Linked DNA regions of Callithrix jacchus. The protein of the gene in region 3 purifies or fractionates together with the protein of the main gene of each other region. This does not show direct contact. Links are inferred from orthologs where the notes say so. Each region holds a gene or a part of one and is shown on either strand. Other genes may lie near its edges.

The links.
Region 1: the proteins of KLC2 (region 3) and KIF5A purify together in Homo sapiens (affinity purification with western blotting; 3 studies listed by BioGRID and IntAct, with this or other methods). This does not show direct contact. The link is inferred for Callithrix jacchus from reciprocal best matches to the Homo sapiens genes KLC2 and KIF5A.
Region 2: the proteins of KLC2 (region 3) and KIF5C purify together in Homo sapiens (affinity purification with western blotting; 3 studies listed by BioGRID and IntAct, with this or other methods). This does not show direct contact. The link is inferred for Callithrix jacchus from reciprocal best matches to the Homo sapiens genes KLC2 and KIF5C.
Region 4: the proteins of KLC2 (region 3) and KIF5B fractionate together in Homo sapiens (co-fractionation; 7 studies listed by BioGRID and IntAct, with this or other methods). This does not show direct contact. The link is inferred for Callithrix jacchus from reciprocal best matches to the Homo sapiens genes KLC2 and KIF5B.

Annotation. Positions count from the first base shown.
Region 1 is NC_133510.1:62,115,180-62,119,994, reverse strand, and holds part of KIF5A (kinesin heavy chain), read left to right. Parts: intron 1-290; exon of another isoform or gene 291-342; intron 343-1,058; coding exon 1,059-1,275; intron 1,276-1,514; coding exon 1,515-1,668; intron 1,669-1,964; coding exon 1,965-2,047; intron 2,048-2,205; exon of another isoform or gene 2,206-2,328; intron 2,329-2,675; coding exon 2,676-2,703; intron 2,704-2,981; exon of another isoform or gene 2,982-3,031; intron 3,032-3,167; coding exon 3,168-3,246; 3' UTR 3,247-3,282; intron 3,283-4,244; 3' UTR 4,245-4,815. UniProt on the Homo sapiens protein: Microtubule-dependent motor required for slow axonal transport of neurofilament proteins (NFH, NFM and NFL). Can induce formation of neurite-like membrane protrusions in non-neuronal cells in a ZFYVE27-dependent manner.
Region 2 is NC_133507.1:81,414,406-81,419,776, reverse strand, and holds part of KIF5C (kinesin heavy chain), read left to right. Parts: intron 1-678; coding exon 679-885; intron 886-2,929; coding exon 2,930-3,076; intron 3,077-5,371. UniProt on the Homo sapiens protein: Microtubule-associated force-producing protein that may play a role in organelle transport. Has ATPase activity. Involved in synaptic transmission. Mediates dendritic trafficking of mRNAs.
Region 3 is NC_133511.1:123,340,257-123,345,627, reverse strand, and holds part of KLC2 (kinesin light chain 2), read right to left. Parts: intron 3,774-5,371; coding exon 3,543-3,773; intron 3,392-3,542; coding exon 3,322-3,391; intron 2,707-3,321; coding exon 2,484-2,706; intron 1,885-2,483; coding exon 1,797-1,884; intron 1,694-1,796; coding exon 1,592-1,693; intron 1,500-1,591; coding exon 1,326-1,499; intron 1,204-1,325; coding exon 1,104-1,203; intron 219-1,103; coding exon 169-218; intron 93-168; coding exon 25-92; intron 1-24. UniProt on the Homo sapiens protein: Kinesin is a microtubule-associated force-producing protein that plays a role in organelle transport. The light chain functions in coupling of cargo to the heavy chain or in the modulation of its ATPase activity.
Region 4 is NC_133508.1:31,751,696-31,757,066, forward strand, and holds part of KIF5B (kinesin-1 heavy chain), read right to left. Parts: intron 5,358-5,371; coding exon 5,256-5,357; intron 3,977-5,255; coding exon 3,916-3,976; intron 3,815-3,915; coding exon 3,743-3,814; intron 3,578-3,742; coding exon 3,473-3,577; intron 2,535-3,472; coding exon 2,318-2,534; intron 1,166-2,317; coding exon 1,035-1,165; 3' UTR 1,015-1,034; intron 1-1,014. UniProt on the Homo sapiens protein: Microtubule-dependent motor required for normal distribution of mitochondria and lysosomes. Can induce formation of neurite-like membrane protrusions in non-neuronal cells in a ZFYVE27-dependent manner.

The DNA.
Region 1 (4,815 bases), on a different chromosome or scaffold from region 3:
AAAATCCCAAAAAAACAAAAATGACTCACCTATAGGATAAATAGAGGACTCACTGTAATTCCTACCTCAGCAGACAAAGAGTAGAAAAGAAAAGGAGATAAAAACTTCTCAGTTAACAGAATCTGAATAGCCAGGACTACAGCCCTACTACCAATTAAGCTAAACTATTGTCACAGCAAAACATGGCTTATACTCTGTAAATTGTCCAAATGAAAACTGCATGGCAAGGTTCCTATCTTGTCCCCTTGAGCCCCGTGTTCCCTGCTATTCTGATTTACCTGCTGTCTTCCAAGGCCCTGCTCCTTTTGCAACCTGTAGTGCCCCCAGTCATTGTGTGGAACCCTGTAAAAAGATCAGGAAGTCTTTTCTGGCTGCAAGGTGGTTGCTACCACGCTCTAGCTTACTTTCAGTGGGGGAGGGATAACCCGGGAAGTCCTTGAAGGTGAAGGTAATGACTGCAAATGTTTGTGAGACCTCAAACATTTTCTTTCCTTCCTACCGGGCAGGCGCTGCGTGTCTGTGTGTGTATGGGGGATGGGGCTGCAGCATCTGCTCTTGCTCTGCACTGCACCTGCTCTGCACGCATCCTCCTCAATGCCACAGCCACCAAACTACTATTGTGCCTTTGCTGCCCAACCCTTTGCATGCCTTCTAAGCCCTTTCTGGTGAAGGGGGTCCCTCATCCCATGGTTGCCCTGGGGCTGTTGGTCTGGCACATGCTGGGAGATGTGGGGGAGGCTAGATGGAGATGGGACATGGTGCTGTCGCAAGAGCTCTGGGCTGCAGTGGAGACAGCAGGTTTTGCTGCCTAGAAAATTATGTAACTTTTTAGTGCCTGACCACCCACCCTTTGCTCCGGGAGAAGGAATGAGCTGGACAGAACAGCCCATTACATAAAGGCAATGAGACCTTTTGAGGAAATGACATGTTCTCCGTCTTCTCTGACCCCTGATTTTTCTTTCTTCTCTCTCCCCACCCCTGTCTCTTGCACTCCTCTGGGTGACTATCTTGGGTCACTCGCCTTCCTTTCCACTTCTTCCCTTTGGCTCACCCCATAGCTGGTACGTGACAATGCAGATCTGCGTTGTGAGCTTCCTAAACTGGAAAAACGACTTAGGGCTACGGCTGAGAGAGTTAAGGCCCTGGAGGGTGCACTGAAGGAAGCCAAGGAGGGTGCCATGAAGGACAAGCGCCGGTACCAGCAGGAGGTGGACCGCATCAAGGAGGCTGTTCGCTACAAGAGCTCGGGCAAGCGGGGCCATTCTGCCCAGATTGGTGAGTGGGTGTTAGCAGGCAAGGTGGGATACCCCCTGAAGCAAATTCAGCAAATTCCTAATTGCCAAGCAACTTGATTATTGCTTCTTATCTACCCCAGCCTCATCCCACTTCCCCCCCAAAAGTAAAAAAGTGATGATGTTACAAGCAACTCAGTTCAACCACAGCTAACTGACCTCAGGGATGGGGCAAATGCAGGGTCAAAGCCTCCTCATGGTTGTTTCCTTTCTTCACTGCAGCCAAACCTGTCCGGCCTGGCCACTACCCAGCGTCCTCACCCACCAACCCCTATGGCACCCGGAGCCCTGAGTGCATCAGTTACACCAACAGCCTCTTCCAGAACTACCAGAATCTCTACCTGCAGGCCACACCCAGCTCCTCCTCAGACATGTAGTGAGTGACCACAAGTGTGGGTGGGAGTCCCACCCAAGGCTCACTGGACCCTAGAAGGTATAGGGCTGGTCAGTTATTGGTTGTGGCTTATTTTCCTAAACCTTGTCTCAACTTCATGCCTATGATTAGAAGGTGGGTGTCTACCCTCCCAGCTTGTGACCATGTTTGTTGTCCTCTGCTCTCCGGGAATGGGGAGGGCTGTGCAGCTCTATCACTGAGGGTGAGTGTGGATTAGTGATCCTCAGACTACTGGAGGGTGGGTGCCAGATGCTGCCTCTTTCCTCTGCTCCCTCCAGCTTTGCTAACTCCTGTACCAGCAGTGGAGCCCCATCTTCTGGTGGCCCCTTGGCTTCCTACCAGAAAGCCAACACGGACAATGGTGAGTGAGAAAGATGGGTAATCCCACCTTTGGGGTCCTCAGAGCAAGTTGAGAGGCATAAAAGAAAGTGACCTTAGTCTATAAGAAATACTAACTGCACCTTTCGTGTGTGCCAAGGCTTCAAATAAAAAAGTACAGTTGGGTGTGGTGGCACGCACCTGTAGTCCCAGCTACTTGGGAGGCTGAGATAGGAAGATTGCTTGAGCTCAGGAGCTCAAGGAGTGCACTGTGATTACATCTGTGAACAGCCTGGGCATGGGCAGCATAGTAAGGCCACAACTCTAAAAGAATAATAATACATATATTTTAAAAAGTGACCCTGTACCAGCAGCTTGAGCATTGCTCAATCCTTTAGGTCTCAAACTGCCGCGGAAGTGGATTCCTCCTATTACCATGCCAGTCCCCACCCTCACCTTCCAGTCCCCCTTTCCTCTCCTTAGTGAGGGCCAGGGAGACTTTTTCTCCAACAAAATAATGATGCAGCTTGGGATAACTAAGGAGAAAGTGTCGCAGCTTATTTTTTTCTCTAAGGAATCAGGATGGGGGAGGGTTTTGGCAAACTGTTTCTAACACCCAGTCTCCTCTTTTTCTTCTTCTAATCGTGTTTTCTCAATGATGATCTCTTCAGGAAATGCCACAGATATCAATGACAATAGGTACAGCAGTCCCTACTACCCCTGAGTTCTCTGGGTGGGGCCAGAAGAAATGATTAAATTTCCCTTGTGCCCCTCTTGGAGGTTCCTGGAGCCTTGGGGGAAGGAGGAAGACAGACTTATTCTTTCCCTCACTGTGTTGTCCAGGAGATGCAGTCAGTCCCCTGCCCCAGTGCAGAGTGTCTCCCCTCCTCCATTCCCATCTGTGGCTTCTCCCTATTCCAGTGAGAAGGTCTGGATGAAAACATCATGGGCATCTGATGACTGGGTTTCTTTCCTACCTTTGGGAGCCTTGTAATATTGGACAAGTCATTTACGTCTGTCTGGCCTTGAGTTTCCCTGTATTCCTGTAAAATACCAATAGTCCCTGCCCTTTGTGATCTCACAGAAACCCTCTTAGAGCAGAGTGACCATGACAGGAATACTTTCATTTCTATGGAGCTGATTGTGTGGGTTTCTTCCTCCAGGAGTGACCTGCCTTGTGGCTATGAAGCTGAGGACCAGGCCAAGCTTTTCCCTCTCCACCAAGAGACAGCAGCCAGCTAATCTCCTACATCCACAGCTGCATACCTGCACTTTCAGGTAGATCAGGCTGCTTCCTCAGACCAGCCTCAGGATGCTTCCCTTCTTGCTGACAGCCTCTTTGGTTCTCCCGCTGCTTCTTTTTTTTTAACCATCTCAAAACATTTTACCCTTCAACTCCCGCTTTCCCCTGCTGGGGCCACGTCTGTGCTGCCCCATGTAACCTGGACACTGACCTTCCCTGGCCGCTTTTGCTTTCCCTTAGGGAATAGCGGTAATTACAGTACTGTCTTTTTGCCACTAGGGGTCACTGTCACATGTCCAAAGAAGCGAGATCGGCCTCTGTAGATTAGAGCCATACAGGGGTGGTAGCGGGCAGATCTATCAGAAGGCCATCCCAACCCCACCTCTACCTCCACCCTGAAATAATTTTGGATGGATAGGTGTTTTTGGAACTAAGACACCTCCGGTAAGGAGATGTTTATGCCTGCACCTGTGTCCCATCCTCCTCCCATGTGTGTATGCCACCAGTAAGCTTTAGGACGTGCCTCACGAAGTCAGTCAGTGCTCCCCTCCCATCTTTTTTAGTGGAGGTGGAAAAGCCCCTCTTTTTCCTCCTCTGTGCCCAGGTGCTCTCCTCTAGCAGCACAGGAACCTTCTTTGTTCTTGTCTATCACCAGGTTTCTCACCAAAGGTGCTTTAGGGCCCAGAAGTGGCACAGCGAGCATGGCCAGTTCTTACTGGGCTGCATCTAAGCTGAAGCCTCTCCAGGGGTTTCCCAGAATAGTAGACCCAGCACACACAGGCAGAAAAGCCTGAGAAGCAGAGAAGGAGGAATGCGGAAGAGGAGTCGGGGAGGCCTGGGGTGGAGGTGAAGGGCTGGGTCGCAGGGGTAGGGGGTCTGCTTGTTGGTATTAAAGGAACAGGATGGTAAACCAACATGTGTGCAGATGCCACCTGTTCCTGTTCCATGGCGGAGCTCCAAGCTGAGCCCTCACACTCTCTTTCTCTTTCTTTCCCAGTTTCTAAGAGGGACTGAGGCCTCTTCTTTCAGCATGCTGCAAACCTGTGGTCTCTGATACTAACTCCCTCCCCATTCCCTGTTGTTGGACTATACTATGTTTGATGTCTTACTTACTCTGTATCTCTTTGTACTCTGTATCTATATATCAAAAGCTGCTGCTATGTCTCTTCTGTCTTACTCTCTAAGTATCTACTGATGTATTTAGCAATTTCAAAGCATAGTCTACCTTCCTTATTTGGGGCAATAGGGAGGAGGGTGAATGTTTCTTCTTTCTTATACTTGTCTCACACTGAGAGGTGTTAGTCACCAAGTAGAGGTCACAGACATGACAAAAGGAAGAACGGGAGTTAGAGGGCTGTGACCCTTCACACACACACACACACACACACACACACACACACACACAAAGCCTTAAGGAGAAGAATGTCCTAGCATCATAAGACAGATAAATAGATTCTTCCTCCCTCCTCTTTCACATATAGCACAGGGGAAGGTGAAATGGAAGGGCTGCTAAATGAGACATATAATTTTCTTCATACATCCCTCACCTTAATCAAAGGATTTGGGTG
Region 2 (5,371 bases), on a different chromosome or scaffold from region 3:
AGTGTACAATGTGAAATCCTGATAACATTTAAAAACGATGTAAGTGTTATTTTCTTGCATCCTTTGTTTGTTTATTTAGATGAAGTCTTGCTCTGCTGCCCAGGCTATAGTGCAGTGGCGTGATCTCGGCTCACTACAACCTCCGCCTCCCGGGTTCAAGCGATTCTCCTGCCTCAGCCTCCCAAGTAGCTGGGATTATAGGTGCCACCACACCCAGTGAATTTTTTTTCTGTATTTTTAGTAGGGATGGGGTTTTGCCATGTTGGCCACTCCTGACCTCAAGTGCTCCACCTGCCTCGGCCTCTCAAAGTGCTGGAATTATAGGCATGAGCCACTGCATCTGGCCCCAATACTTTGTTTAAAGTATGGAATAGCCAACTAACTATAAAATACAGTTTTCTTTGAGTTAAGGCTATACAGCTTTAAACTAACAACAAAAAATAACATATAAAACAAAACACATGTGCACACAAAACAGATTTTGCAATAAGAACATATCTGTCTTTTAATTTATTTATTTTTAAAGTCTGGACCATACTGTGAGATTTTCCATCATCCTGAAGTTTTCCAACTTTTTTTCTTGTATCTTGTTTTTAAATTACTTAATTTTGGATACAGCATAGAATGTAAACATTTGAACACTAGTTTCACAAGTTCCATGCCATCCTATTTCCCTAGCTTTTAGCTTCCACAAGAAGAGACTATGAGAAGATACAAGAGGAGCTGACACGTCTCCAGATTGAAAACGAGGCAGCCAAGGATGAGGTGAAAGAAGTTCTCCAGGCCCTGGAGGAGCTGGCTGTCAATTACGACCAGAAATCACAGGAAGTGGAGGATAAGACCCGGGCCAATGAGCAGCTGACAGACGAGCTGGCCCAGAAAACGGTTGGAGCATTTGTGTCTAGGGGGTGGGACTTCCTTGGCTGCCATTCCTGTACTCATATTGCTATTCATTGACAGACGTGGTATAAGGAGGTGGTGGCTGAATAGTTATTCAGTGTTAGATGTATTCTCTGAGATCCCACCAACAATTGAAATACTTCATGCAAGTGACTTTTGTCCACTCATCTTGAACTGCATATCACGACTGCTTTATATCCAGAGAATTTATAACATTAGTGGGGATGCTCTGTGGGAATAGTGAAAAGAGTGCAGACTTTGGAGCCAGAAAATCTTAGTTACAAGTCTGACTTCATAACTCTTAGACCTTAGCTGCGACAGTAAAGTTTTGTGAGTATTCATTCCCTTATCTGTAAAAATGGCAATGATAACATGCTGCTTGCATGGTGTGAAGATTAGTGACAGTTTATGTAAAACACTCAGCACAGATCTGTGCATGTGCTACAATATCAATACATACATCTCCAAGCATTGCTACTGGCAAGAAATGGGGTCCCACAGAAGGTATGGACTTCACTCTTCTTGCTTATACCCTCCTGAATGAATTCCATTCCTTTCTGTGGGCTTCCTGTCCTGGCTGTTATTTTCAGGAGCCTGGAATTAAGCTGCCCTTGTTTGTTTGTTTGCTATTCTGTTTTAAGCCAGTGTTTCAGCCTGCACATTCCCTTATTTCCAGATTCTTCTAATGAAAGATGCCGTAGGTTCTACAGTGAGCTAGCAGTAGCAGGGCCAGTGAGTGTTTGGCATGATGGGATGGGATGTGTCCTTTTCTACCTGGAAAATGAGTGGTAGAGAAGCTGAGTGACTCTAACCTGCTTTCCTTAGCACTTCTGTGCAATGGCCTGGTGTCCTGGGCTTGTGCCCAGCCTGCTTTGTGGAAAGCATCCAGTTTAAAAAGAAGTGGCAGATGGCACAGGAGAGTGCTGATCTGCCGACTGTGAGGCTGACAGGAAGTTCTCCTCACGGCATGCAGGAAGAAGACTTTTCTAGCAGCTTCCTAAGATGGGGACTACTGCCTCTGTGGGTTTTAAAAACAAGATGACATAAGCAGTTGGCAATGCCAAACAAAATAAAACAAACTCATTCAGATGTCACTTAGGAAAGGGGAGACTTAGATTTCCTCTGCTTAGTGTTTTCTATGGGATTCTTTTAATTCATCCTTAATATTATTTCCTTCTTAAAACAATGAAACATTTTTCATAATACAGTTCTTACTTGCCATGAAACCAAAGTATTACTAGATTGGTTTAGAAGATGATTATTAGATTGTTTAAGAATGCCCTGGCTACATATGGGAGAATTGTATAAGCAGATAACTGTTTTACTGATGGTGAGCATTAGTTAAGAATACATACCTTTTGTCAAGATACAGGAAGGATGAAAAAGAGATGGGTTTATTAAAGTTTGACAAGAAAATAGAGCTTCTGCTATATAGTAAGAAACCAACTATTGAACTTAACCTAATTTTGAAAAAAGATGAAGAGTGTTTAATTCAGCTTCACTCTGAAAATTAGACTTTTGTGAAGTTTTCTAAACTTGTTGATGTTCCTCTAGGCCATCTGTTTTAGATCCACCTGTCTTTGTCAATTTAGGTGGAAATATGGAGGTTGCCAGGGAGCAGGTTTGTTTAGGAGTGGAGGTGGGGACACTTGCAGGTGAGTTTAGACCATGAAATGAAACAGGGAGGTCTGAAATAGAACATCTGGTAAGTAGGAGGATGCAATTACGTTATAAACTTAAGATTTCTTTTTTGGCTTTACTTATTTTTAATAACTTATTTCCCTGACTTGGAAATTGTCATCTGATATGTAGACATATAACATCAGGCCATGTGATATAACTTGTGAATATAGAGTTCCTCTTCTTATCTAAGAATGCAGGGCTATGCAACCATTTGCCTTAAAATGATTCTTAGGTTGAAGTCATGTAAAAGAAATCCATTCTACATGATGGTGTTATTCTTTGTAATGTGGAGTGTATGAAATTGATGGACAACTCTTTGAATTTGTTGTTGAAATTTGTTTTTCAGACTACATTGACAACCACGCAGAGAGAGCTGAGCCAGCTACAAGAGCTTAGCAACCACCAGAAGAAAAGGGCAACTGAGATCCTGAATTTGCTGTTGAAAGATTTGGGGGAGATAGGTGGAATTATTGGCACCAATGATGTGAAAACCGTAAGCCAGCCCTTTTATCCTCTCTGCCTGTTCTTATCAAGTTAGCGGGGTCTATGCTTTATTCTTTTAAGCATCAATACTTAGCACTGTGCTTTGCATCTGCCATATGCTTGGTAGTGTTTGTATGAATGAGAAAAGGACTGATTGAATGACTGAGTGAATGGTTGTTGGAGTGAGGAGGAAAAACAAATTTACCTTTGAAATCTAGGCAGTGTCTTCAAATCTTGGTTGTCTTTGTGTAAACTGGTTTATTCCTCAAACTTATTTTGTTGCAGAAGTTTGGAATTAAATAGCTTAAGCAACAGTTCAAATCTCAGAATTGTGTTTTTCCATTTCTAAAAGAGCCCAGTGGAGTGAAAATTCTCCAACAAGTCAGTGTGAAAGTAATAGGATTCTATGGCTTAAGAAATAAAACCACATTTAATTATCACGATATCAGAAGCCTAAAATCTCGCTATTCAGGGTGTGATCTGCCTCAACAGGAAGCTTATTGGAACTACAGCCTCTCAGGCCCCACCGCAGACCTATTGAATCAAAATCTGTACTTTAACAAGATCCTCCAGGTGATTCTTTATGTTTATTAAAGTTTGAGAAGTAAATTTTGGTTTGGTGCCATGACTCAATAATGTCAAATTCCCAGCCTGTTTCCTTTTCATATCCAGAGGATTGTGCCTCATGGTAGCAAGATAGCTGCTGTAGTACAAATCATCACATCCTCACTCAACGACATTCAAGGCAGGATGGGCTGAAAAGGCCAACTGCTTTCATCTAGGAGGGAAACATATCCCAGATGTCCCCAGGAGACATTTCCTTACACTTCATTGGCCAGGATTGGATCACATGACCACTCCACGTTTCTGGGAAAGCAAAGGGGAATAGGATTACTATAATTGGCATAAACCAATTGTGATGGATCCCCTCGTGTTGTATGCATTGGTGCTCTTGGTTTTTTTGTTTGTTTTTTGAGACAGAGTTTTGCTCTGTCACCCAGAGACTGGAGTGCAGTGGTGCAATCTCGGCTCACTGCAATCTCTGCCTCCCATATTCTAGTGATTCTTGTGCCTCAGTCTCCCGAGAAGCTGGAATTACAGGCATGTGCCACCATGTTCTGCTAATTTTTGTATTTTTCTTTTAATTTTTTAGTAGAGATGGGATTTCTCCATGTTGGCCAGGCTGATCTCAAATTCCTGGCCTCAAGTGATTTGCCCACCTTGGCCTCCCAAAGTGCTGGGAATACAGGCATGAGCCACTGTGCCTGGTCATTGGTGCTCTTGATGGCTAGAAAGTAAGATGTGGGGAGAATAGGGGTGGTATAAAGTTGTCTAGGAGCTAGGAATAGAAGGAAGAGAGATAATTAAAAATGGTGTCAGCCAAGAGCAGTTAACAATTTTCTGGAATATAGAAAGGCCATTGTTGTCATTAACCAAAAAAACAGGGTAGAGACACTTTTAAAACAAAATTTTATTGGGTATAATTTACATAAAGCTGTTCATATTGAAAGTATACAGTCTGAGAAATTTCGACATATGTGTACACTCATGAAACCATCAGCACCGTTAAGATAATGAGTGTCTCCATCTCTGCCAAAAGTATGTGGGGCTCTTTCTGGTCTCTCTATTTTGTTTCGTGGATCAAGTCTTTCTGCCAATACCACAATGTTTTGATTCCCATAGCTTTATAATAATATAGCATCTTACACAGAGGAGTCAGTGATGATATATGTTGATTTTCTTGAGCTGGGGAATGGTAATGACATTGCTTACCTTACATCTCACAATTTGCTGAAACCAAAATCTTTGCATTTAGCCATTTTATCTTTAGAAAGATGAATTCTACATCAGTCTGTTTAGTGGGAACACTGAGGTTGTGAGTTGAGATTGTTAAATACAGAAAAGCTCCCAAGATTAGGCTTCCTTTTGTAGACTATTGCTGGGAAATGATGAAAGCTCTTTTTGGAGGGCGTATCAGGTCTCTACTTAGAGTACATGACTGCCTATTAACCATTCTTTCATGGAACCTGTATGGTAACTGAATATTTCATAAATCCTTGTGAGTGAATCTAATTCTAGCACATACTGTAGAGTTAACCTTATTAAGCTTCAGTTTGGTGATTTTATATTTGGAGATTTAATTTTTGGAACCATACATTTGTGTTGAGCAATAAAATTCTGATGTGAAGTGATTAAATGGCCTCACAATATGAAGGTGGGGTTGATTTATGGGAAGCTGATGCTTGCTGCTGATAATGATAAAGGAAGAATGTATTTTTATGCTAAGTTCTTAAATAGAGCTGAT
Region 3 (5,371 bases):
TCCCCAGCCCCACCCCTCCCTCACCTGTCTACTTTACAGGCCTTGTACCAGCTGCCGTATTCCCCATAGGGGGCGCTGTCCCGGCGCTTATCCTGGAGGAAGGTCACATGAAGTGAGAGCCCAGGCCCCGTTTGCACATCCCTGCCCAGCCCTGCCCCACAGAGCTACCTTGCTCTCCTCCCGCTCCTCTGCATGCATCCAGATGGGCTTGTTGTCCCCTGGGGAGAGAAAGGGGACCGTCACCAGCCTACCACATAGGCCTCACCTGGTTGGGCTGGACACAGGATGGAGTCTGGGGAGGGAGGACCAGGGTTGAGCTTTTTTTTTTTTTTTGAGACAGAGTTTCGCTCTTGTTACCCAGGCTGGAGTGCAATGGCACGATCTCGGCTCACCGCAACCTCTGCCTCCTGGGTTCAGGCAGTTCTCCTGCCTCAGCCTCCTGAGTAGCTGGGATTACAGGCACGCGCCACCATGCCCAGCTAATTTTTTGTATTTTTAGTAGAGACGGGGTTTCACCATGTTGACCAGGATGGTCTCGATCTCTTGACCTCGTGATCCACCCGCGTAGGCCTCCCAAAGTGCTGGGATTACAGGCGTGAGCCACCGCGCCCGGCCTGAGCTTTGTTGAATGAAGGAACAAGAATGAGACCCAAAACACTACTGACCCTCTAATGGACAAAGAGATGAGCAGAACAGACCCTTACACACCTCAGGCCACAGCCCAAGACATGTGATAGGCCTGAATGACAGGCCAGGCTCCAAGGGACTCAGGAGCAGGAGATGACAAGCCATCCAGGGCCAGAGGTGGTTTCCCAGAGCGGGAGACGCTGGGGCCAGGCCCTCAAGGTTAGCAGGAGTCACCAGTGGAGAAAAGGGATCCAAAAGTGTGTGAGGCACTGGCAGGCCAAGGGGGCTGCCTGAGTCGGGTGTGTGTTCACATGTGCAAATGTGAACACAGGTAGCTGGGCACCAGCAGAGGGTGAGGCTGGGGACCAGCCAGGACCAACCAGAGGAACTGCTGGCTGAAGGATTTGTCCTGGGTGCTGATGGCAGAGCGGGCCTGGGATGAATGGGCCAGAGGCACATGGCAACCATGCACTCACCATTGACAGAGCCAAACTCTTTCTCGTGAGCGCGGGTGAGGATCTCCTTGTACAAGGTCTCTGCATCCTGGTACTTGCCCTGCTTCAGGTAGCAGGAAGCCTGGAAGCAGGGGACCCAGAGAGTGAGCGGATGGATGGAGCCAAGCCATTCTCTCCTCCTTCCCCAACCTCATCCCTCCCTCCCTCCTTCCTATCCTCCAGCCCCTCCCAACCCCAAGGCACCAGGTTGTTCTTGGTCTTAGCCACGTTGGGGTCATCAGGCCCAAGGCGTGTAGCATAGATCTCCAGTGCCCGCCGGTAGTAGTATTCTACCTCCTCGGCTTTACCCTGGTTCTGGCATAGCAGGGCCAGATTGCTGAGCTGCTTAGCCACGTCTGGGTGAAACTTGCCCAGGACCTGGGATGGGAGAGGGAGCCAGGGCTGGGCTCAGGGCTGCCTGGGCCCCTGCCTCCCAGACCCCCAGCCTGCCCAGTCCTGCCTACTCCCACCTTCTCCCGGATCTCCAGCGCCCGCTTGCACAGTGGCTCAGCCTCCTTGTACTTGCCCCGCTTGCCATACAGGACCGCCAGGTTGTTTAGTGTTGCAGCCACCTAGGGGTGGGAGAATGGAAGCTCCTTGACCCAGGCCCTGCAGGACTCTGGGACCTACAGAGGATGGGGCACAGCCCCCACCTCCCACCCAATCCTCACTCACAGCCGGGTGGTCCTTGCCCAGTGTCTTCTCCCGGATGGCCAGAGCGTCATTGAGCAGGTGGGCAGCCTCCTTGTACTTGTTCTGGTCCCTGGAAGCAGGCAGGAGCATGGTCATGGCTGTCCTCCAGCTTAAGGCCCTCCCCAGTGGCCTTCAATCCCTGTGGTCACTCCTGTACTCACTGAGGAGTGACAGTGTGGGGAGACCTGCTTGGCTCCTGCCCTCTGAGCTCTGGGGGCTGTGGGCAGTTTTCTCACAATTAACTGGGGTGTGTAGTGCTGGGGTCCCACTGACTGCCTGGTGGCTAGTGTCCTGGGTGCCACATGGCTCTCCTGCTGCCCCTCTAGCGTGTCCTGCTCTCCAGGTCCCAGTGACTTTGCTCATGCTGGCTTTTTTCCATGGGAACCTTTTCCATCCCTCTTATGTTGGGCAAACTCACTTTCTGCCAAAGCTCCTCCTCCAGCCTTGGTACCTGGAGAAGCCATGCGGACTCCCCAGGACCCTTGCAGTCCTCATGTGCAGTCCCTCCGAGGTTCTGGCCAAGCCTCTCTCCTACACTAGGCAGTTTTACTAGTGCAGCCCAGCTGCACGCAGACGGGGCCCAAGTCCTGGCCCACACAGGCACCAAGGGTTGGTGATCCAGGGCTAGAGCCTTCCAGAAGAATTTGGGCACCCCGAGGGAGCCCTCACCGATAGACCAGTGCCAGGATGTTCAGCATGGTGGCAACGTCAGGATGGTCGTGGCCTGAGGTCTTCTCCAGGTCCTCCAGTGCCTGCTTGCAGAGTGGCACAGCTACCTCGTAGCGGCCCTGTGAGGCATACTGGATCACCAGGTTGTGCAGGGTACGGAGCCGGGCCGGAATCTCGTATCCCCCATGCTGAGCAGACACATCCCCTCCTCCTGGGCTAGGGGCTGCAGGCCAAGGGCAGGAGGTCAGATGTACCATCTGCCCGCTGGGCTGGGCTGGCACATGCCAGCAGTGCCTTTGAGCCACTTGACACCTGGCCCTGGGCAAGTCACTAAGCACTCTTTCTCAGTTTCCCCATTTGTAGAGTGGGTCTAGTTACCCCATAGAAAGAGGGGGTAGAGGCCCAGCTCCAGTACGTCAGGCTCAGTATCCTGCAGTAAGTCACCTAACCTCTGAGCCTGTGTCCCTGTGTACAGAGTGGAAGCCCCAACGCTCGCCCAATACCTGAGCAAGGCAGGCACTGGCCCTGGTGTGGCTCTGCAAGTGCCTCCCACAGAGGTGGCACAGAGAGGAAGATAACTCTCCCAGGGGTCTGAGGAGCTAGTGGCAGAGCAGCACTGGAAGCCAGGCTGGCAACTCCATAGCTCTTAACTGTGATGTCTGCTCCCTAGAACTGGGGGATGTGAGAAGCAGCAGCACATACAACTGTTCTTGAAGCTCTAACACTAGGATGTCATGAGCAGAAGTAAGGCAGGAAGGAACATGGCAGCCACTCGGTCCCAAGGACTGTGAGTTCACACAACCTTTCCTTCCCTCACTCCAGAACTGCCCATCCGCACCTGTGCTCTGCTCATCCTCATTGGGGAACAGGTCATCCAGAGTGTCTTTGGGGACGTCCCCCTTCTCCTCCTGGGGAGGAAGACAGGATGAGCGTCAGGGAAGGAAGCACAGGGCGGCCAAGGTGACCATGGGCTGGGTTGGAGCCAAATCTGCTCCATGCTGCCCCCTTCCTGCTCCCAAGCCCCCTTGCTGGGCAACAGTGACCATGGTAGGGGCTCACATTAGGGGAGGCGTCTTCGTCCAACTTGCGGATCTGGCTCATGAACAGCAGGTGCTGCTTCTCCTCCTCGAGCTGGGCCACAGCTTGCTCACTGCGCTGCAGCTTCTGCTGTGTGCCCGCCAGCTCCTCACGCAGCCACTGGTTCTCCTGCACCAGGCGCCGTACCTGCGCCCGCAGCTTCTGCTTCTCTGATTCTACGGCCCCCAGGTGGCTCGACAGTGCCAAGATCACCTGTGCAAACAGCCCAGGTAAGGGTCGGAGCCCTGCTGATCCCCTCGCTTATGACTCTAACCTGTGCCTCGTGAAGAACCAGGCCTGACCCTACAGTGAGAAGCTGCAGACCTTGGGGTTCTCTCCTCCTCAAGGAAGAATCTCCTCAAGGCCCCAAACACACTATAGTCCAAGGCCCAAACCCAGGAGGCTTGGGAGTCCCCAATTCCTTCCTTCTGGGATCAGGAGAACCCCAGAAAAGTCCTAGTTGGGGTGCTGTGCTTTCCTTGAGCTCCTAGCCTCTTCATCTCTCCCTGGGTTGTACTCAAGCTCCTGCTGCCACAGCCACTAGGTTACTGCTCCCTGCCCCAGGGCTAGCACTTGCCCGCTGAACTCTGCTAGATGGCTGAAAGGCCACCCAAAGACTCTGTCCCCACTTCTGCCAAGGGGCCACAGCATCCCCTGCCTTTCTGCAGCTCCCAGGTAGGGAAGGGGCATGTGTCCCAAATGCTCAGCTGGCATGAGGAGCCACAGGGACAGGAAAAGCCTTGGCCTCAAACTCCACCCCTCTCCCCAGCCTCTATAACTCCTTTCCTGAGTTTCTAGTCTCTTCCTGCCTAGGTTCCACCCTGCCTTCTCTCTCTCTCTCTCTCTCTCTTTTTTAATTTGAGATAAGGTCTCACTCTGTCACGCAGGCCGAAGGGCTATGGCACCATCACAGCTCACTGCAGCCTCTACCTTCCAGGTTCAAGTGGTCCTTCCCGCCTGAGTAGCTGGGACTACGAGTGCACACCACCACAAGCCTTAGTCCTGGCTATTTAGGAGGCTGAGGCAGGAGAATCGCTTGAACCTGGAAGGCGGAGGTTGCAGTGAGCTGAGATCGCACCACTGCACTCCAGCCTGGGCGACAGAGTGAGACTCTTCTCAAAAAAAAAAAAAAAAAAAAATTTTTTTTTGTAGACATGGGGTCTTATGATGTTGCCCAGGCTGATCTAGAACTCCTGGATTTAAGCAATCCTCCCACCTGGGCCTCCCAAAGGGCTGGGATTACAGGCGTGAGCCACCACACCTGGCCTTACTCTGGGCCTTCACCCTTTCCTGGTCCTTCATGGTCCAGGGTCATTTCTGCAGTGGTGCCTCCAGCTAGTCACACCTCCCACTCTGCTCCGGCTTCACACATGGCCTTGATGCCCATGCCCTCTGTGAGAGTGCATATGCTCCACCAGATGTGGAGCCCCTGAGTGGTCCTCTCCGCCTCTGACAGCCAAGTGGCAGAGGAGTGAATGTCCTTGCAGAGGGCCAGGCTGTCTGGGACCCTGCACTTTCTAGTTGGTTAGCAAATGCCCAAGTGACAGGTGTTTCCATAACCACTAGCTTTAAAAAAATAATTCCCCCAACAGCCTGGAAGTGTACACAGCAGATGGCATGATCCCTATTTTAAAGACAAGGAAACCAAGATGATACAACCTCCCCAGGATTCACACGCCAGGCAGGGGCTCAGCCAAGCTCTGAGGGGAATAAAACAAGTCTAACTCCTTGTACATCCATCCCAGTGGCTCCTGGACATCTCCATCTGCCTGTCACCCTGGCAGCCTCAGTTAAAGGGGGCCAAAACAGAG
Region 4 (5,371 bases), on a different chromosome or scaffold from region 3:
AGTTTAAAAAGCAGGCTACAAAGCAGCATATGTAGCAGAATATGTAGAGTTATCAACAGTTTAAACTTTTAAATTTAAAAGCTGGTACAGAAAGCTCTAGAAAGAAATATATATATAGTAGTATCTCTGGATTTTTTCTAATTAGTGATTGTTTTATGCAGTACATAATTATAAATTAATAAAGCTCAGAAATCTGTTAGTAACCTGGGCTCATATGCAATTCAGTGCCGTCTTTCTAGAAACCAATGTGTAAATATGAACAAAGAGCCTTAAAAATGTTCACATTTCCTTGTAATTCCATTTCTGGGAAGCTTCTGGAAATAATCTCTAACAGGTTAGGGAGTACAAAAAGATGTTTTAGACCAGGCCCAATGGCTCATGCCTGTAATCCCAGCACTTTGGGAGGCTGAGCGGGCAGATCACATGAAGTCAGGTGCTTGACACCAGCCTGGCCAACATGGTAAAACCCCGTCTCTACTAAAAATACAAAAATCTAGCCGGGTGTGGTGATGGGCACCTGTAATCCCAGCTACTCAGGAGACTGAGGCAGGAGAATTGCTTGAACCCAGGAGGCGGAGGTTGCAGTGAGCCGATCTCACGCCATTGCACTCCAGGCTGGGTGACAAGAGTGACACTCCATCTCAAAAAAAAAAACGATGTTTCATATTTCGTACATAAAAATTGTGGTTTCTGTAAATTTCAATTATGGAACAAATTAATATAATTACATATCTAGCAAAAAGGGATGTTTATAAACCATGGTACATCCATTAGACAGAACATTAAGAGCTATTTATTACAAATGGTCCAATGCTAGATTTCAAAACAATTAAGATCACAAATTTGAATACAGTATGATCTAAACTATAAAAAAAGATCAAGCTAAATAACTTTTATAATTGCTTAAGTTTAAAAAAATTATAGCACTAATATGAGAATTTTTAAAACCCCCAAAACCATTTAACAACCAATTTTCCATATATAGCTATGAAAAGCCAGGTATAAATTACAAACCTGTGGGTATGTATAAATGTTTACACTTGTTTGCCTCCTCCACCTCGAACTGCCACTGGCTGGCTGTTCTGAACAAACGCACCTCCTCCACGAATTGCACTTGGATGAGTTGGAGAAGCTGCTGGATGTTGCCCGGGACGAATAGGTTTAGCTAATATGAAAAATAAAGACTGGCTTTAGAATAAAGCTTAAGATGTGACAGCAATGACTATTAAGGTATCTTCTCTTATTCTCGACAAATTTCCAAATGATTAGTTTTTCTTTGCCTTTTTGTTTCTCTATCACTTTTTCTTTTCTGTTCCATTCTTTTTTCTAGGACCTGTACAATTCTTAGCCTTTAAAAATCTTCTTCCTGGCCAGGTGCAGTGGCTCAGGCCTGTGTAATGCCGGCACTTCAAGAGGCTGAGGTGGGTGGATCACTTGAGTCCAGGATTTCAAGACCAAAGAGAGCAGTAAGGCAAGACCCAGTCTCTACAGAAAATACAAAAATCAGCCAGATGTGGTGGTATGCTCCTGTAGGTAGTCCTGGCTACTTGGGAGGCTGAGGTGGGAGGATTGCATGGGCCTGGGAGGTTAGGGCTGCAGAGAGCCATAATTGTACCACTGCAGTCCAGCACAGGTGACAGTGTAAGACCCTGTGTCATTTAAATAAATATACAGAAACAAATAAAAAACAAAAAACTTCCTGCACCAATGATGGTTATTATTATTATTTGAGATGGAGTCTCTCTCTTGTCACCCAGGCTGGAGTGCAATGGCGCAATCTTGACTCACTGCAACCTCCACCTCCCAGCTTCAAAGGATTTTCCTGCCCCGGCCTCCCAAGTAGCTGGGATTACAGCTGTTAACCACCATGCCCAGCTAATTTTCTGTATTTAGTAGAGAGGCGGTTTCACCATGTTAGTCAGGTTGGTCTCAAACTCCTGACCTCAGGTGATCCAACCACCTCGGCCTCCCAAGGTGCTGGGATTACAGGCGTGAGCCATTGTGCCCAGCCACCAATGATCATTCTTAAACATGAAATCATTGCTGATGGCTTTTCTTGCAATTCTCTTGGCTTTAGTAATATTGCTCTATATAGTTTCTCCATTCCATGACAATTCTTGCTTGCTTCTCTAGTTCTCATTTATCTTCATGTCCTGCTAATGTGGTTATTCCTCTTTCCCACCATGTGCCACTCTTTGCTAAGTTAGAAAATAAAGACAGATGCACCATGAAAACACGTTATAAAATTCAGATTATGTTTTCAACTAAAAGCATTCAAACTGAGCAAGGTTTAAAGGTTTTAATGTGTTCTACTAACCAATCTGTGCAGAATGCCCTCTTCTGGCCATATTCTTTGACCTGACTGCTTCCTTTATGCGATCTACTTCTTGCTGATAGCGTTTGCGATCACGAGATGCATTTTCTTTGGCTTCTTTCAACGCTGATTCCAAAGCTTTCACTCTTTCAGCTGTAGCTCGAAGTCGCTTTTCCAACTTAGGAAGTTCGCAGCGGAGATCTGCATTATCACGTACCAACTAAGGGGTTCACAAAGAAAACAAGGATTCTAGATTTAACAAAATGATTTTTAAAAGTACAAGTATTTCATAATTGCTCTTTAGAAAAGAAGTAAAACTGCATCTTATGTTGTTTCCCATTTATCTAATTTAGGCAGAAACATGCAGAGAATACATCCATCTGTACATATCATATACACATCTATTTATTCACAAAGGTATAATTTCCTCTAATTTTTTTTGAGGGGGGGGACTGTTATTTCCCTCTACTAGGCAAAGACAATAAATTACAAGACAGTGCTATGTTTCTTCAGTAAGACAAGTAATCTGCTGAAATGAAAATCTCTTTAGATATATTAAGCACATAAGAAACATAAACTTAGCAAGACCCTTAATAAGTGCTGAAGACAAGAAAAGCTAAAATATCTTTAACCATACTCTGGTGCAAACATCAGGTTTACAGTAACAAAGATACACAACAATTAAGTGTAGAGAAACTTTTTGAAATTAGTAACTTAAATCATTTATCAAGTCCCAACAAAAAATAAGCAAAGAACCAAAAAAACCTCCAAAGTAAGCATTACTTTTTAAAAACATGACAAACTCCTTCATTATATTTGACACACTGGGTGGTGTATTAGGTATAAAAAGACCACTCTCCCCAGAAGACTGTATTTTAACTGCAAAGTCTATGTAGTAGAGATTTCAAAATTACAATAAATTATGAAAATGCAGTCTTAAAATCCTAAAGAGAAAATAAGAATACATATTTTCACTATCTCTTTTGATAATAAGGTTGTTAAAATTAACTCCTCTAAAAGTTACTTGTGGTTTCTTTACATAATTTCTGATAAAATGGCTCAGAGTATAGAAATTCTGAAAGACTGAAATACTTGCCAATAATCAATTTTTGATTTGTTACTACCCTTTCAGCTACCAGAAAATAAACTCTTTAGTACCTGTTTGTGCACTTTAGTGAGCTGTTCAAGATTATTTTCAAGAAAGGAGATTTTTTGCTTCTGAGCAGCGCTGCCTCCAGTGTCATCAGAATCAATCTCAGCACTCTGAGAAAAGAAGGTAAGTATTACGAAAAAATAAAAAAATAAAAAAAATCTAAGCTTAATTGTACAAAAACTGACATAACTATAAAGTTATTTCACTTTGAATAAAAGAATTACCTAGAAGTAAGCACCATTACACAAACACCCACCTCGGCATAGTTATATTACCTTTTTAACTCTGGTAGCCAGGTCCTGAACAAAGAGCTTGCGCAGGTTATGTAAAGTCTGAAGTTCTTTTGCCTTGGATTAAGAAACAGCAATATTTTTGGAGTTCAGACTTTAAATTCAGAATAATCATGGTAGAAAAAACCCCACAAAATATTCCCCAGTCCTTTTCTTACCACTGTCTCTTCCAAACCCTTCAAGTCTTGTTTTGCTTGTTCTCGTCTATCTTGTATAATCCTAACAGAAGAACAAACATAAATTTTCAAATTTTATTCCATAAAATTCTAGTTGTACTTTGCATGAGAGTTGAATATTTTGTATCTGAAAGGATCAATTATTAAATTTAAATAAATACAAGATGCTTGCTTTAAACAATTTATCCATGTTGTATTTCAATTTTTTTTTTTGAAACAGCGTTTCTGTCCTGAACACTGCTCACTGCAGCCTTTGACCACCTAGGCTCAAATGATCCTCCCTGCTTCAGTTTCCCAAGTAGCTGGGACTACAGGCATGTACAACCAGGCCTGTCTAAAGAGTTTTTTGTAGAGACGGGGTCTCCCTATGCTGCCTAGGCTGATTCTCAAACTCTAGGCTCAAGTGATTCTCCTGCCTTGGCCTACCAAAGTGCTATTATGGGTGTGAGCCACTGCACCTGGCCATTTTGAAGAAATTTCCTATGCCTTCTAAAACAACAGTTTATTGTTATAAATTCCATATACACCAACAAAAGAGATGAAATAAAATGTGGCCGAATTCGAAGAATAAGGAATGGTTCTAATTTGTATTTTCAAATATGCCATATTATTATACTCTTATTTATCCAAAGTGACGATTAACTAATTACAGAGATTATAAACTATCAAAGACTAAAATATTTTACATTAAAATTATTCTAAACACAATTACAGCTGCAAGTTAGCAGAATCTTTATAAAATCCACTATGAACTTGTCCTGATGTTCTAACTATCCTAATAGCAGTTCATTTGCAAATTATCTCACAAACTCAAGGTATGTGAAAAATTATAATCATGAATTTTCTACTTGAAGACTCTAGAAAACTGAGTTTTCAGAAAATGAGAAAAAGTAAACCATGGAAACCTCTGTTCAAAACGGCAAGGCTAAAACCACAATGCTCTTTTATGTAAGAGAAAAACTTAACAAAAACTTAGTTTTTGTGATAGATCTTAAAATCTTTTAAGTTACTTAATATCTTGTTTTCAGTTAATTTTTATGCTGTGTCCTGAAGTAATATGGAGATAAGGAAACAGTAAGCAGACTGATAAACAGAAAACTAAATCTTAACCACCACTGAAATATAAGACCTTGCTTTCACTAAAATACAAATGTATATTCCAAGTTTTTAGATATAAATCATACCAACTCAATGGAGTTAAGAAAAACATCCTTTAGCCCATACAAAGTAAAATATGTATCCACTGGCTATATCCAAGGGTAACGCCTATAATCCTTTAATTTAGCTTTATTTTTAAACTTTAATTAAAAACAATTACTCACGTAAGCTCATGTAGTTTTCTGCTCTTTTCCTGATCTGTAGCTTTCAACTTCTCATGTTCTACTCTTAGACGTTCCTGCTCTAACATCATTTTCTGGTTTTGGCTGATGGAAAAAAA